2 linked regions of the Styela clava genome follow. The protein of the gene in region 1 purifies or fractionates together with the protein of each later gene. This does not show direct contact. Links are inferred from orthologs where the notes say so. Each region holds a gene or a part of one and is shown on either strand. Other genes may lie near its edges.

What was found.
Region 2: the proteins of muskelin-like (region 1) and zinc finger MYND domain-containing protein 19-like purify together in Homo sapiens (affinity purification with mass spectrometry; 3 studies listed by BioGRID and IntAct, with this or other methods). This does not show direct contact. The link is inferred for Styela clava from reciprocal best matches to the Homo sapiens genes MKLN1 and ZMYND19.

What each region holds. Positions count from the first base shown.
Region 1 is NC_135256.1:3,514,267-3,523,065, forward strand, and holds the start of muskelin-like, read right to left. Parts: upstream 3,884-8,799; 5' UTR 3,763-3,883; coding exon 3,686-3,762; intron 1,748-3,685; coding exon 1,582-1,747; intron 1,179-1,581; coding exon 1,043-1,178; intron 465-1,042; coding exon 355-464; intron 1-354. UniProt on the Homo sapiens protein: Component of the CTLH E3 ubiquitin-protein ligase complex that selectively accepts ubiquitin from UBE2H and mediates ubiquitination and subsequent proteasomal degradation of the transcription factor HBP1.
Region 2 is NC_135254.1:72,910-81,848, forward strand, and holds the start of zinc finger MYND domain-containing protein 19-like, read left to right. Parts: upstream 1-5,204; 5' UTR 5,205-5,367; coding exon 5,368-5,418; intron 5,419-8,596; coding exon 8,597-8,763; intron 8,764-8,939. UniProt on the Homo sapiens protein: May be involved as a regulatory molecule in GPR24/MCH-R1 signaling.

The sequences.
Region 1 (8,799 bases):
ACTGCCCGTGAACCACTGGAAAAGCTTCCGCGTTGAGAACCACTGCTCTACTATTTTCACCGTAGGTCCATTTACAACACTTCAAAATTACTGGGGTCTGGACATTACAGAAAATTCATTCCATTAAATAATCGAAATTTCAAATGCATTATTAAATTAAATACAAGAGCAATGAATGGCTCACAAACATAGATATAAATAATATAAATCGGTACCGTCTATCTTTGAAAAAAGAATTTTCTGTTGTTCTCGTAATTTTCCCTTTGCATGAGAACGTTTCCATTCAACAAAACAATAAAAATAGACAAAAATTTGAAAACTGAATATATTCAAATAAATATTTTGAATTCCTACCTCATAATACCATTTTAAACATGGTTGAACGATTTCAGTTTCTTCTATGCCTCTCAGTTCAACGTACCAGATACTGAAGTTAAAAGCTGAACCCCAGGATAACAGTGGTACTACCAAAAAATAAACATCAGTTTAGAGTACACATTTCGACATTATTTTGTCATATGTATGGCATATTTAAACGCTTTTTGCTCCAAAACAGGCACTGCACAAGCAATTGCAAGATTAAGAGCTACTGTTTTTGGAAGGTCCAAACTTTTCATGGTTCCGCACTGCCTACGCAATTTATTCACGAGGTGGTGGGCATGGGATTTAATTACAAGCTAGTTTGAACTTGTGGGCTGAGATGTTATTATAGTAAACAGGGACATAGCCAGGGCAGTTTTGAGGGTCGAAACCTCCTGCCTGATTTGAAATGAAAAAAAAAAGGATTTTTCTGTATCTTACAATTCAATTTTTCTCAGCTTGAAACGCTTATTAGCCCCCTAAGATTCTTAACACCCAAACGTTTTCCGGTCGGACCCAATAGCTGTTACAACCAAACTTGGCAAATATTAATCTCAGAACTCTCATTTGAAAAATTCTGGCTACGTCCCTGATTACTCCTTCTGTAATATCTTGAATTGCCCTCAATCGGTTCTAACTAGTCGAGGTCGGGAAGTTATAGTAACAACCTAAATTGTCTCACCTATTTTGATAAACCTGCAAGGGAAAAGTTGTCCATCTATTCTATGCTTCATATGGAATGTTTCTGGGTTGTGATCGTTCTTTAGTCCACCTTTGAGTAACTCTATCAGATTATCCTCTTCCATTCCCCCTAGAACCTGAAACAACAGCAACAAAAATTTATTGATTCAAGAGACTTATTGCACTCGATACAACACTCTAGTGCTAAACAACATTCACTCTAAGAGCTTGCTTAGTTGCGCGGAATAGAAGGCTATGTAAGCTCCAAAAAAAGGTCTGCGCGGAAAATTAGAAAAAATAGAAAAGAACACATTTTAAACGAACACAGAATTGTCAATACTTATGCAGTGCGCGGCAGAACGAAAGTACTGTGCATGGATTCTCGGCGCAGCTTAGAGGGAGGCGTTGGTGCTAAAGTTAAAAATAACACAGTTCATTGTGGTAAAAATGCACAATGACGCAACATTTCGGCAATGAGAGACTTCTATTTTTTGCCTCATTCCAGTTTCGAGCATTTACTCTTAAAACTTCAACTCTTACTTTAAATTTCTTGATATTACAGACATGATTTTTCTCAAATTTTCCGAACATAATGGTTTGAACGATCGCTGGTCGTGGTAGTTTGAGGAGTAGAAACTGAGGGGGTGAATTGGAGCTTGATGACCATCTCGATGACTGTTTTGTCGGCTCATTCTGTTGAATGTTTCTGTAATGTGGAGGTTTTGTTATTATCAAATGCTTATACCGGTATGATTTATCTACCAAAATGGGTAAATGTTCTCAGTTAAAAAATCTGAGAATAGGGTACTCATATTTATCCAGGTGGAGAGAAATAGCATACAATGGAACGGTATTTTCATAATGGCAACTGTGTAAAATAATTTCTCATATTTATTGCTAAGATAGGGATGTTAATTAAAAAAAAGATGCAGACTCTTTTCTTTCTAAACTAGTCATGTTCTGATGGGAATTGCGGATAGGATAACCCTGGCGCTCGGCCGTTTGGCACATCGTGATAAACGTTAAAAATACGCTCGCCAATGCACCTCTGATTGCGGTACATGGCAGCATAAACGTGATACAGAGGGGGCGGTGTGGCTCAACGGGATAAGCGTTAGGAATACGCTCGCCACCGCACCTTTAATTACTCTGCGTGGGTTCGCCCCAACCTTTGACCCGCGAAAAATTCCTCTCATTGTTACGTCCTTTTTTGCATCTTGCTGATTGGCCAATGTCACGAAGTAAACAAGGAAGTCGATGCTCGGGGAAAGGTCCATATCGTGTTGAATGATAGGAAATAGGAATCCCGTGAGAATAGTTATGGACGAAAAGATCGCCTCCGCACCAATGGCCAAGTACGGCTCTGATTCAGCGTATTTTTCATACAATAATTTTACACGAATGTACTGAACAGTACCGGTATCTAAAGTTGCTCAAACACTCCCAAAATTAGTGACAAAGTATGAAAATAATGTTTGGGGTCAAAGGTCAAACGTCCATTTTGCTCTAATTTGACGTATTTTTTATCCATTAATTCTACGTAAAAACACTACCAAAATTAATGACAAAGTATGTCCATTTTGCTCTGGTTCAACGTATTTTTTATCCAATAATTTTACGCGGGTGTACTGAACAGTACCGGTATCCAAAGTCGCACAAACACTCTCAAAATTAGCGACAAACTGTAGAAATAATGTTTGGGGTCAAAGGTCAAACGTCCATTTTTTCTCTGATTCAACGTATTTTTTATCCGATACCGGTAATTTTACGCGGATGTATTGAGAGGTATCTGATGTCAAAGTCAGTTGCACGCGAGTGCAGTTGTTTTGCACGTCGTGAGCTATAATTGCACGCCAGGAATTCTTATTTGCACGCGGGAATTTCTGATTGCACGCCCGATTTCTCGTTCAAAAAGGCCATGAAATCCAGACTGGGTTACCAGTACGGCTTCCTCCACCGCCAAGTCAATGCTTCCGAAAACGAACAATAGGCTATAACTAATCCCATACCCGACTTGGAACGGTAACCGGACGAGAGGCGGTGGTTCGCCATATGGATAGGCCGTCTTATCGGCTTTCCTCTCCCCCTGGATAAATATGTAAATCCTATTTTACTGACATTAGAATAACCATTGAACTGGTACGGTAAGCTGGTGAATTGAACAAAGCAATGTTAAAGAGCAAATGTTGGAATGGCAATTCAGTCAGAAAATAAACCAATGTCTGAATGTCGCAAATTTTTGCTCGTACAGCGATAGACTACGGCAGGGCTACTCAACTGGCGGACCGCGGTCCGAATCCGGACCTTTCGAGTATTGGATTTGGACCGCACCTGATTATTTATTTTGGATCATTAGCCCCACTTTTTGAATTTCCTATTATAAAATGACTTTCATAGTTTTGAGTATATACAGATATAGGAAAAGAAATATAACACCATAATAAACAATTTTAATATGCTACTAATCATTAGCCGGTCGAGGAAATTCTCGTTAAAGGATGCCGAAATATCAGTTCTGGAAAGACCGGACCCAAATAATTTTGAAGTTTTGTTTGCGGACCTCCGATAAAAATAGTAGCCCTGGACTACGGTACCGTACGGTAAGTCTGTAAGTACAATTAAAAACAATCAAAAACGAACTTACTCTGGCAGATAATTCGTAGAATAACTAGACCAGTTAAAAATCTTGTAATTCAAGAAGGCGTTCTCCTCGCTAGACATTACAAACGACTGTTTTATGGCGGTGAAATACGGTACCGGTACCAAACGGGGAAAGCATTCAAAGCGCCGTAAATTTGCAGAATGCACTGAAATCGGAAACACAGGACGCCTGTTTACGAATCGGAAAACCGGATCACTGGAGTCGAATCCGGCAAGACGTCATTAATTTTACTGGCCAGTAATGAGTAATTTATTTCTTCACCATGCTGAAAACACGCGCTATGTACATAGTATACTCAAATTAAAAAAATATATAAAAAAAAAACGCATTTGATAGAAAACTCTGAAAACCAATACTGGTTGTCGAGCGGCGGCACTTTTCGCAAATATGTTTTCCTTTTGAGATGTAAAATTGCTCTTTTCTGTCGCCAAGCCGTGGTGTGTGGAATTATTTAAGCTACATTCCCACAAGGTAAATAGCTTTTATTGGACACGTGAGTGGACCTATAGATCGTTTTCCTATTTTTGGTAATCTTGTTCTTGTTGGCCTCTTCTTCTTTATATCGTTTTGAAAAAATCCCTTTTCCCCTTGAATATTGGACCAGTTGCGTTGAAATTTTCAGTGTCTAAAATTTTATTCTTTGCTAGAAGGATATTACTTTAATTTATTGTTTTTTGTGTGATATGACGCCATCACAATTTGCCACTATGTGGCACTACGTGTCCATATATTCGAGCATAGCTCTGTTTTTAGTTATTTCTATACACCTCAATGGTTATTTCCCACTTCAATGAACACGGACCTATGGATTGTTTTGCTTTTACGGACACCTAGTGGGGAATCTTAAAAAATCACTTTTTTGATTACTGGACCAATTCCTCTGAAATTTTTAGTGGTTAGAGATAAAAAAAAATTCTAGAAGACTATTACTTTCATTTATTTCAAATATTCCTGATAGCACCGTGGAATTCGTTTTTTTACACAAAAAGAACTTGTTTTTTATGCTGGCAACTTTTCTTGTTATTCTTTTGGTCACGTGCTCATCGAACGTCGGTGGTGTGTAACAAAATTCTTGCTTTGCTAAGAGTTCCTAATGAGGAATGGCGAACAGAGCCGTACACCCATGTCCATATAATTTAGCATAGCTCTCTTGTTTTACCTAAGCAAGGTCACGGCCACCCCAGACCCATTGTATACTTATATAATGTCTCTGGCCACCTGTTCAAAAATAAAAGCACAGACTGGTTTCTGAATAAATTTACGGATGACAACATTAAATTAATTATAAGTATACGCATAAGTTAATTTGGACTTCATAATCAGCTTAATAAACGATAAAATAATTGTTAAAAACAAAATAAATAAACTTATTACAGAATCAGGATTAGGTAATGATTTTTTTTACTCCACCCTAGATGAAAAAGTCAGATTATGTGTCAGCAAATCGCATTTTGTACTGCAATACATTAGAATAGGACTTGCATATTTATTCCGCGGATAAGGAAACCGATAAGACGGCTTAATCACATGGCGTATCAGTGCCTCTCGTCTGGTAAGTAGGGCTGGGCATTTTCGAATACCTTGTGATTTCAGAATCGAATCGAATAATTTTTTCGAATCGAATCGAATCTCGTATACTTGAAAATATATAATTGTAAGCGATCTTAATATAGTAATTGGTCCTCTCAACAAATGAATTACTGAAGACATAGAATAAATCACTCAGATAGATTACTGAGCGTTCACACAGAATAACTCACTACAGGAAATATTCATATGTTAGAATTTCGTTGAAAAAATATGACTTCAATGAAAAAAAACTTGGGGAATTCACCTCGACCATTAGCGGAAAGATAAAAACAAGATGGCGGCGATTCGAAGTTTAGCTCTGAACCGATTCGAATAATTTACTATTCGATTCGAAATGCCCACCCCTACTGGTAAGTGATCAGTTAGCTAGTAAATCTGTTTCAAATTGATGAACTTTATGGTGGAGCAAGTGAACCATCTTACGACGGCGAAGAATCCCGTAATACTCTCACACATGATAGAGATAAATCTAGTTCCTAAATATTTGTCAACCAATGAAGACAGCGGCGGATTAAGCAAGCCCCTTTGGTGCCCTAAGCACTGAAGACTTTGGTGCCCTCTCATGTGTAATTTAATTATAAAAACCACATAAGTGAATTATCATTAAAAATAATCACAACCAACAGTAAATAAACAAATTTTACGAACATTTTTAGGTTTTTTAACAGCCATATATAGCCAATAAATATATCGGCCGTTTACCGCCGATAGGATATATCGGCAAACACGCAATATCGGACCGATATATCGGTTGATCTCTAATCCTAAGGAAGTGTGACAATAAAGATTTATGCCTCGAGTCTCAACGTGAATCGAAATACCAAAGTATATGAGTATAACAACTGTAGTTTGAAATTTTACCGGCACCTAGTAGTCTACCTCAGGGTGCTTCAAGGTTGCTAGGTTGAAGAACCGCAAAACCTTTGAGGAGGTCTCGCGGGCCGCAAGTCGGAGAAAACCCACTTTAAATTTAATAAACAACGAGAGTTTACCGTTCTAATCAGACCATTATTATGCTGCATGGGTGGCGTTCTTTTAAAGAAAATGTATATAGCCGTCGTTATTTTAAAGTTAATTCCCGAGAATTACCGTTGTATTTTGCGCATCTCACTTTTTAATGTCGCCTCAAATTATATTCTTTCGTGACAGATATATATTACTTGAAATCTAACCAGACACTGTGTGATGGGCAAGGAAATACGTTTCCGCCGTGATTTCTCTATGTCACCTTTCTTTCGACACTCATTTTATTACGTATTGTTATATTGAGTAATTTAGAAACGTAAGTAATTTCGTCACCACTGTCACATGGCCCACGCTCAAAAACAGAGGAGTGTTTTTACTAAAATAAAAGCACAAAGCGTTAGAAAAGGGGTTTGAATCTCGGGATCCCAACCCCAGTTGGAATAGCTAAAAAAAAAACTCAAAAACGTTCCTCCATTAGATACAAATATACGCTTAAATTGTTCAGTGAGCCGCAGGGAATGTATCAGCATGACAGGGTTTGGACCACCCTGGTCTACCTCATCAAAAAACTTCGCTGACCATTGGATCGTTGAAATGCGATCGTGGAACCGTCACATAATGTGAATAGTTCATTGGTTTAATTGTTGAAGAGAAAATTTTTATTTTAAAACAAAAATGCAGCAACAAGGTGAATACTAGAAAGAAAAGACAACGACAATTTAAGAAAACGACTCATAGGCCCATTTCGTGTCCAATAAATAGGTTTCAGTGTTTATTTTTAATAAACAAGGCTAATATGATACTTGAAGCCGAAAAATAAGCGAACATTTTAAAGTTTGAGTCGTCTGGTGAACTCGTAATATTTTAATAAACACCGATAAACTATATAAAATGATTTATCATCATTATAAAAAGTATCATCAGTTCGGGTTTAAACTTTCTAAAAATATGTGCGGCCCGCCAATGACTTGCAACCCTTATTTTGGCCCGCTAGGGACAAAAGGTTGCTGACCCCTGGTTTAATGGTTAATCCGGCGCTGTCCACATGCATGTACTTTTGTTTTCTATTTGGATGGTGTGATTCTTTGTGAGGATTTTCTTTGTGATTATCTTTGAATTATTGTAATCAGGTGACCAGTCGAGCTATATTTGGATTCTCCCCTACATTTTAACTTGCTATAGTACAATATGCTGTGCCCGCGTGTATACAAAGATTTCATCCTTTGTCGAAGTTACGCTGTGTACTTAGAGCATGCAAATGTGTGTGGTGTTAATGATTAAGATAATCGCCAACATGAGTGTGGTTTGACCGTAAATATACACTACTACTAGATGTCCAACTCCGCTCGCCGTATAATAAACAAACAAAGGCGATGTTGCACCTCCAAGTGGCGGGCGTCACGGTTGGTTTTGTTCAGACTAAATGCTTAGGGACGACGACGCTCCTGCATCACAGCTCGAAAACTAGCCCTGTTCATTGATGACTGATCGAAATATTTGCTGAAGGACGAAGAGATTCGATAAAATGAACAAATAATTGTGAAAATGAAGACACAGTCTGTCTTGCAACTGACCAGGATGATGTGACAACTTCCTTGTCAAAAGAAAGCAAGGCATCAAAAATGCGATGCGTTGCAAAAAATGTCAGTCAGATGTAGGTAAAGTGGTGACGAAAAGGAATACTTTGCACTTTATATATATAAAAAAAACGCTTAGTAGCACGGCATTTTGGTCTCACTCCATCTCAAGTATTGCAGCTTTCACACAAGTTTTTTCTCCACTTGACCCATGGCTATAATCAGGGCTGCCACAACGTCCTTATTTTTAGAATTTGTCCTTATTTTGAAGGTCTTTATTTTAGGAAATGTTTTTGCCCTTGTTTCTAAGAAACATCTTTATTTTGACGTGTGTCCTTATTTTTAACCTTATAAATTAAAATACCAGTAATTTAAACTTTGAATTTAGTTTAGATCTGGAACTTCATAAGAGATAAAATGAGTGAACGTTAAAAATTTGCTGTGATGATTACCAGAAAGAATTCAACGGCGTCGAACGAAACGAAGGGCCAGTGATTTGCGCACTGCAGCTTTTGTGAATGTGACAACAATCTAGAATGCATAGGTAGAGCAGCAATTTCTGTTAATAATGCAACCCAGAAACACAAGGCTCTGCTCAAGAAATTAATCAAACCAATCTATAAATAACTTTTTTAAGAGTCAATGATTATACAAAGGCTATCTCAACACATGCAAGCAGCTGAAATTTATTTCCATCATCCCATCATTGAACATCTGACACTTGAAATAAAAGAAAAATATTCTCAAATCATTCATAAGTGAATACCTATTAAACAATGTAACTGAATGTCAAGATGTAACAACACTACTTGAGAAAGTATTCAAAAAATTTGAGCAAATGTATACGCAAAGTACTGCAGCCAAAATAATAACAACAAATGGACGAAACCAATTGAAGAAACACAGCAGCTAGAACGAAGATTAAGATGTATGTGATTACAGTCAAGTTTCCGTACTCCTGAA
Region 2 (8,939 bases), on another chromosome or scaffold:
AGTGTTCCCAATGACATTAAACAACATGATAGGCAACTCTGACGTCACTCCATAAGACTATAGGCGAAAGATTGTATTTCATGATACGCTCCAATGCACATATTTCTCGTCGCCTTTCGCGTCCGTTTTCCACTCGCTTTTGCTACTCGGCGTCTTTTTTACGTGTAGTACTTGCCTTTTTGCGCCTGTAACGAAACAAAATAATCTCTATATCTAAGAAGTTTTGCTCACTTGGAAAGCTGGAATGGCAGGCAAGCTGTAAAGAGCAATTCTGGACATCACAGACGTTTTTTTTTATCAGAGAAGATTACAAACGCGATAGCCGAAAGATTTGTTTGGAACATTTTGCAGATAATGACAAAATTCAAAGTTAGTAATTTTAATGTTTGCGCTTAATCATTGAAATTTCATTTGAAGAGGGTGTCATACAAAACTGTGCTGTGATACAATTCCATAACACAAAGTTTGCACCTATCGAACTTGCTTTTGTAGGTGAATTTATTAGACATATTACATATTCAGTTAATCGTAGGTAACATTGCTGGTACATAATGCATCGTAGATAGGTTTGTTTAAATTCAGGAATTTAGCTCATAGCCCACTAATTAATATTATCTTCTATGCAGGAGGTTGCAGGGCTGAATTCAACTTGCAGCCTTACCGATCACCTGACGATGCTCATTTAATTTGACTCGAGCAAGTCTTCTTGAAATGCTTGTGTGGATGGAAACTACCTATATTTTTTGCCTTCCTCCGATTTTAGACAAATTTATGCTCAGGGATTTCGCATATAATTCTCATTGATTGTTGGATGTTTATAATTCCTATTGATTGTGAATTCTGATTATAACAAAGAGTTAAAAAAATTTTTATCTAATTTACTGGCACCTTTTTCTTGTCAATACTCCAAGCTGAGGTAATAAACAAGAAAATACATTTATGTCATCTGGAAGCAAAATATGCACACTAATTAATAGTTTGGCACATTGAGATGATACATCATGACAGAAAATACAAGTTAAAGATATGTATGACCATCACATGGTAATTAAAATAAAATAAAATTAATAGGGGCTGTGGAGTATGAAAAGTTCAAGACAAAGAAAAGAACAAATGTTCATAGCTCATGAACTCTCAATTTTGCCTCCATTGCTTTGTGAAGGCCAATATATTTCGAGTGGCTGAATTGGTTTACCTTTATGATAGCAACGATTTTGTATTTAATATAGCGAGATTATTTCAATTTAATTGAAGTGATATGATTTCCCAAAGCAATGCTTGAATCGTCTAGAATAGATCAGTGGTGTCAAACTCATGGGTTTTCGAGAGCCGCATTGCATTTTGGAAATTGTAAAAAGAGCCGCAAACAGTTTTTGATAATGTATACTTAAAAGATATTTTTAAGATAGTTTTAGTTTGTGACATATATTGTGATGCAACTAAACAGTTGGATTAAGTTTTATTATTTTCTTCAATTTCAAATGCAATTACATATTAATATTTGCATTCCACTATTATTGCAACATTTGCAAGTTACTGTATTTATTATAAAAAATCCTAAAATTCTATGTACAACCATCAAAATCATTTTTGAACAAGCTTTGAATAAGGAAAGAATAATACATACACTAAAAATAACTTAATCTAAATATATGAACCTAAAATTAACAAAAATACTACAGTATAAACTCAATGTTTTAATAATTACATTTGTCCTGACGTTTGGCATCGTTTTTGTGTCACCAGCATACTAAGGCCAGGCTGAAATGATTTTATAGTACCAACTCTAACTTACGAGGCCACATGATCATGGGTTAATCTGTGCAAATGTTTAATTAATTCCGGTAATGCAAAAAAGTTACTTTTATCATTTCATGTATAGATCAGTAAAAAAAAAAATGACAGATTTTTTCGACAAGACATTTCGCACCACATTGCGTGACATAGGATTGCTTGAATTATTATTGATATTGATTTTTAGTAACTAAGTCGTTGTATAATTATATTAATATACAAACACATGGAAATTTTCTGTTCGAAGTTGGTCTTCGAATTTTTCATATTGACTGCTGAGCTTATTCTGTTTTTTCATTGTATTGATGGAAATATGACAAATTAAACAATGTGCTTCAGAATTTTGTGAAAAGCAGAAATGTTGCAACTCCCATTTTCTTCGAAAATGCCACCTTCTTCATGTACTTTGCGTTTAATTTAATCACTCAAGTGTTTTATTCAAGTATTCGTTTGCTAGCTTGGTGTGTATATTCCTAATTGGGTCAAAATGTGGACAAAAAAAATTAATATTCCAAAACTACTTTCAGTAAATTGTTTTCTGTGTGAATATTCAATTTCACTTTAAAAGGTTTGAAAAATCTATTACATTAAGATAAAAAAAAACTTCCAAAATACTATTACAATTATTGTTAAGCATTTGAGGGCCGCACTGGAAGTTCTTTGGGGCCGCGAGTTTGAGATCCCTGGTCTAGATTGAAGTTGTCCAAAAAATATATGTTAGTATTTTATCATGAATGATGATTATACCCCTTCCGGAATTTCTTCTATAGTACTACCAAAAGTTGATGAACTAAATATAACACAGGTGCAGTGAGTTACCCGTAATCCTCATTTTCCAAAGCTGTTTTAAGTATGTCTGGCGTGTTTTGTGCCTTTTTATAAATAAGACCGCTTATGCAATATTACGCTTTGGAATTTTTAGTTATTTTCCTTAAGCCCTGCAGGATGTGAGGGCCATACACAACTCTACCGGAGGGTCAAATGTCTTTGCATGCCTCCATAAGTTGTTTTTCTATTGCAAACATTTATGGAGTACTCTAATTATATTTCTTGGAATCACACTGTCACTGATATGTCGCCAGACTTCTGATATCTCCCCTTCTGCTATAGTTGTCCTGTGAATAAATAATAGAAAATTGAGATTAGACGAATAGTTGAAAGTTTTGCTTTATGTCGGCTTAATTTCTTGATTGATATACTTACTATTTCTGCTATTGCATCTTGTGCTGCAGGAGTCTCACAATGCTTAGACAGGTTTGTCCACAACTTTCACATCTGAAGAAAGAGAGGAGATTTATTAATTTTCGTTAAGAATAAATAAAGCAGTCTATATGATTCAGAATGGAAAAGCTAATAAATCCAATATCTCATGTTTTATGTAAAAAATATTTTACTGAGTTTGGTATATAAACCAACTAATAAAAGGGTTTAGTCAGAAAATTACAAGCATTCGTGGCTCCAAATACTTGAGAAATCAGACTACGACTTCAATACGCAAATAAAAGTGAATGCGTAATAGTATGTTACAATGAGCAGCAATCAACAATGAGTATATATCCTCACTGATTAAAAAAATCTAACTGGAGGTGCATGAACTATTTGAAACCATAAGGTGTAAGTAAATATGTAATTTCGGCAAATGGGCAACTACGTACCGTACTGAATTAATACCTTCGTAGTATTTGACAAAGGCTGGCTTTCCCACATGTACTTAACAGTGCGATGCCCGGGTGTGATATACAACAATAGTATTTACCTTACCTTTTTTCGATTTCTTTTTACCTTAACTTTCCAAAATATCATTAAAATCGACAACAACTGTCAAAGCAGGCACGAACACCATTCGTGCTACGCCTTGAAAGCAGCACACATCCGCTCGTTTTCGTCTCGTCAAGTATGTGCATTGGAGCGTGCTATCGAATACGATCTTCGGACAAAAATGCCGGAGTTGCGCATCATGTTGTTTAATGTCATTGGTGTTCCTTCATTCACAGTCAGAAATTTGTTATCTTATGCGTCGCTATGATTGCATATCAACGCATTTTTTTGATAAAAAAGAGTGAACTAAAATGTAGCACAAATTTAAAAACGGGATATCACAGGCATGAATACACATGCTTGGAATCACCACAGTGTGTACAACGTAATTTTTTCGAGGTAATCTTGTCGTGGGCTACCAAGCGTGACTTTGTTAATCAAGTAAGATTCTGATCCACTCGATCCTCGTCAGTAGCGGTAGTTCAGGGGAAGCGTAGAGATATGGGCAAACATGAGGCCGAGTTCGAACCCCACAAGGTAGAGTTGTAGAGATACGCCAACGGGATAGACGGAGTTTCAGGGGTGGACCAGCAAGCAAAGCAGGCAGTTGAGGGGCAACGAACAAGGTGAACAGAAGCTTCAGGTATGGGCCAGCAGGCAAGGCACGCGGCCGAGGGCATCTACCGGGGTAGGCTGAATCTCAGTGATGAACCAGCAGGCAAGGCATGGCAGACTGAGGAGCCTCAGAGATGGACTAGGCCCAGTGAGAGGAGCCAGGGTTGGGTCAGCAGAAATAGAGGAAGCCAAGAGCAAGCGCGGAGAGAGGGGAGGAGCAGCAAGAGAGAAGAAGGGGAGCAAGAGAGAAGAAGGAAAGTGTAAGCAGGGGCGAAAATGGTTATGCCACGCCTACTAGAACGGCGTTTAGTGCCTAAATGGTAAAACGGCTTTCCTCTTCCCCGGGATAGGCTAAATATGTAAATCATATCCATCATTCCCTTGAGTGAATGAATCCATAGTTTGAAAAAAGGCCTTCTCGTTATCTTGAGAATATAAGGTTTTTTCCATGTAAAATATATGTGATCTCGGTCGATTCTATTTCAAATTAATTACAAATGTACGTAAACATCAGAACTGGAAAAACCACTTTAAAATTGAATTTGTGCTACATTCTTAATGAAACTGGAAATGGTTTGGCAAGGGCAAATGTCATTCGGTTTTGAATTTTCCTATAATTTTATTCTTCAGGATGGCAATTGTGTTGTTATTGCGGAATTTCTCTCTGGTATACTTCTTGAATCACAATCAGGTTTGGCGCACAGGGCAAAGCACAAAAAATACCCTACATTGAAGTCAGGGTGGCGATAGAAGTTTCTGAGTATCTGCACACATACTGTTTCCTCTCTCGTCCGAACGCCTACAATCTAGCTCACCTAACAAGGGTTTCCTGCTGTCATAAAAATAACGAAAATAAATTAGAGTAAAGATTCAATCACATTAATGCGAGGGGTGGTTGAATTAGGATTAATACGTCATACTGTGCGGCTATCTCATTAGAGTAAATAACAGAAATATTGTCGGTATAAACATGTATAACTTCAAAATATTGTGTTTTTGGCCAACAAAAATGTAGGATTGGTATACCAGATTTTAAGTGAAGGATATAAGGGCGTACTTCAGAAAAGATTGACGAGCACTGCCCTGGCCTAGAGTGCACAGAAGCTTTTGTAGGTGGCGCCAAAGAGTTCGCGGCAGCTGTTCGTCGATTCTGTTCGGTTGTTTCGCGCTGAATCGGGTTGCCTGAATATCTTTCCACGAATGGCTAATGTCAAGCTGGGAATTGTGAGACTTGGAAGAGTTGCCGGAAAGGTGAGTCTTATGTATATGGATGATATTGTTTATAAAGTGTATAGCCCCAACATTTTTACGCCAAAGAGTGTTTTTTATTCCATATTTTTGTAGGAAAAGCACTGTTGTGATTAGGGCCTTTTTGAACCTACTGGTACCGATAGTTTTCTAAAACTAGGCCGATACCGATGTTTTCTCACCTACAAATATGGCTACAAGTAACATATTGTGTTTTTCTTGCAAAAGAATTGAAATGTTGAACTCATGCAATGTGTGCATGGCAAGAAAGAACACATATTGTAAGGGCAGGAAGCTTATGAATCTCAATAGCTCCAGTTCAACAGTCTCAGATGTAGTTGAGCAGAGTTTTTCTGCATTGGCTCCATTGCTTTTCTGCATTGGCTCCAACCATACTTGCTCTTGTGTTTTGCTTTGAAATGGCTCTACAAATTATACCCATCTTTTTTTTTTAAATCGGCGAAACCTTTCGACTTAATAATGATAAGCATATCTAACAAATTACGCCACACGAAGTATTGCTATACTTTGCTCTGACCGCTAGAACCAGCCATCTATTGCATATCAATACAAGAAGTTAAATCGCGACTTGAACGACCAAAGCGCAAGGGAAATCCAAGGCCGTCGTTGCGGCGAGAAAACAAAAGTAATAACTGTTCGATTCTGGGTGCTCGTTTGCGCGTTTTGGATGGCAGTTCGTATAGTTTGAAGGGCTCTATTATGTCACTGTGACGTCGTAATGATGTAATTCTTGGATGGTGTAGTCAGGTGGGGGTTAGGATTGAAACATGAATACATATGTTAGGTACGAAACTACATGAGACCCCATTCTATTCTATCAAAGTGTATTTATTGATTGGGACCCACCGAGTGTTTATGTTACACAAGTTTGACGCACGAACGATACCCATGCGTGTCTTTGTCTTTTTTATTTTGAATAAAAGTTTCTGTGTTGAATGAGGGTGAACTGACACATGTATTAAACCTTTATAAAAGTTTTGCCAGTTTCCCATATTTCCCCAATCTTTTGTGTGTTCATTGTTTGGGTTTTGTGTATGATTTTTTTGCGGGAAAATCAAAATATACTTATATACCATTCTGTTTACTAATTCAGTATTTCAATATTCAAGTTCAGTACCACCGCGTTTCCCCGAAAATAAGACCTGCGGTACCCTGAAAATAAGATCTGGCCCGAATTTTAAAATGATTTTAATATAAGGCCTCCCCTTAAAATAAGACCTGGTCAATATCGCGAAATTTTTTCTGACTATGGGTATAGCATGAAATCTCGGGTCTAGTGTAGTTTCGTACCGAAAGTACTGTAAAAGTGCCTAACTTCGGACAGTTTCTAATTTAGGACAAAAATTTTAAACGACCATATCTTGTCTAAAAGGCGTCGTATCTTGCAAATTCCAATTATTATAGGTAGCGCTGTTATATATACATCTATTGTTAATTCTTTTATTGTTGCATGATTATTTTTTTGGTCAGAAAACGGGAATTTTGCCAAAAAATGACTGTCTGGTATTCAACGGCGCAGAGCGTCGCTCATACTTATTAAGCTATCATCGTCAAAATACCATCATTCGGTAGAGGGCGATAGCAAAGTATATACATTATCAGAGTGATCGCAAGATGTTGTAGAAGATTTGAATAAAACCTCTGTTCTGAATTGAAAATTCCGTAAAATTATTGAGATTCCAAGCTGCGTCAAAAGTAACGTCAATCTCATGTAGATCATTTTTTGCTCACTTCTGACACGACGCCACACTGGTCGTGGAAATGAATTTTGACGCCCGACATTGACGCCAAATTAGCATTTTCCGTTTAGATAAAGACGGCGTTCCAGTGTAATATTTTTGTATTTTGTTCGGTCCATGTGTGAATATATGCCAAAATCAACTTAATGAGAATACGTGTCTTACTCGACTTCAAAAATCGAACATATAAAAAAACTAGAAAAATTCCAGTCTATATGTATACTGACTTAACAATTATTTTATGAAATCGAAATGGCAGTTATTGAATACAGCCTGGGTGAATTTTATTCACTCGAAGTGAAAAATTCATTTAATTTCAAACAAAAATCCCGCCACCTATCTCAATGTTAATTAACAAGAGTAAGTTGAAGATTAAACTTTACAATTGGGTTCGCCGTATATTTGATATCGATTTATCAGCGTAACATCAACAAAGCTATCCGTCGAGAATGATAATATTTCAAAGACTTACAATACAAGCCTGTTACAATATTTCATTATAAATTAAAACGGTTTACATCAGATATGTAGTTGGTTAATGTGGTATTATATTGATCTGAATTGACGAAAATAACGAACGAAAGATGTAAACATTATAAGACGATGAAAGTTTCAAATAATGCGTTGTCGTCGCGGCGTTGATTTTATGTTACGACGTCAATCGAGCGTCTTATCTTCACGCAACGACGTGACTAGGTCACCCGCATCGGAAGCCTCTTTCTCTCTGTGCGTTGCAGTTTTGCATTGAGGAAAATGGCTATTCGAAGTTAGGGCTGTGAAGGATAACGGTCAGATGGCAAGAAAAGTAGAATATTTCAATAGTAAAAACCCAAACCCAAAACCCAAAATTTGCAGGGAATATTAATTACTGCACGAATGTTTTACATAGCAATTTTGGCGTCGTTTGGACAATAAATGTTATATTGTACAGTTATTGATGAAAATATGGTAATTTTGTCCGAAGTTAGGCGCTTTCACAGTACTTCTAGGGGTTGTAGCATGATAATTTATGCGTATGTTAATTTTAACCCCCACCTGACTTCGTCATCCAATAATTATCAAACTATCATCTAATACGTTCGGACGATCACTCGACATCGAGCAATCTATTTCTCTCGTTTCTATCAGAAAGTTCTTTATCATAGGTGCAAATGCCATTTCGCGCGGCCGTAGGTAACGGTATACTTTAGCAAACTCTATGGCATGATTAAGACGTTGTAATGACGTATTATATCGATGGTGTAGTCAGGTGGGGTTAGGATTGACATTTGAAAAAATAAACAGGCAACACCCATTAGAAGTACGTTAGATATGAAACTACATGAGACCCGAAATGTGAATGTTTTCAAAGAACTCAAAGCTCATTGGTTTTTAGTTATTGACAAAGCCGAGCTTTTCCTAAAGCGTTTTATAAATTTCAGACAAAATATACAATTCTGGATGAGGACGATATTTCCTTGGTGACAACATATGTGTTTGAACCTCGCATGAATATTGATCATAACGGAAACGGTGTCAGAATATTTGCGTACGCCTACAGCGTAAAACGGGGCAGAACGCATGCAAAACGTGTGCAGGACTTGCTATGGTGAGTTTTTTACTTTTATTAAAAAATCCAAATGAGTCAGAATGATTCATCAAATCCTAAATAAAAACAGAAATACCCTTCTGAATAATATCCTGTTTGGTGAGGCAGCAAAAATTGCACTTTTACCCAGAATCAGGGTAGGTGATCTCTGAGCGACGCTCAAGTGAAAAAAGTGC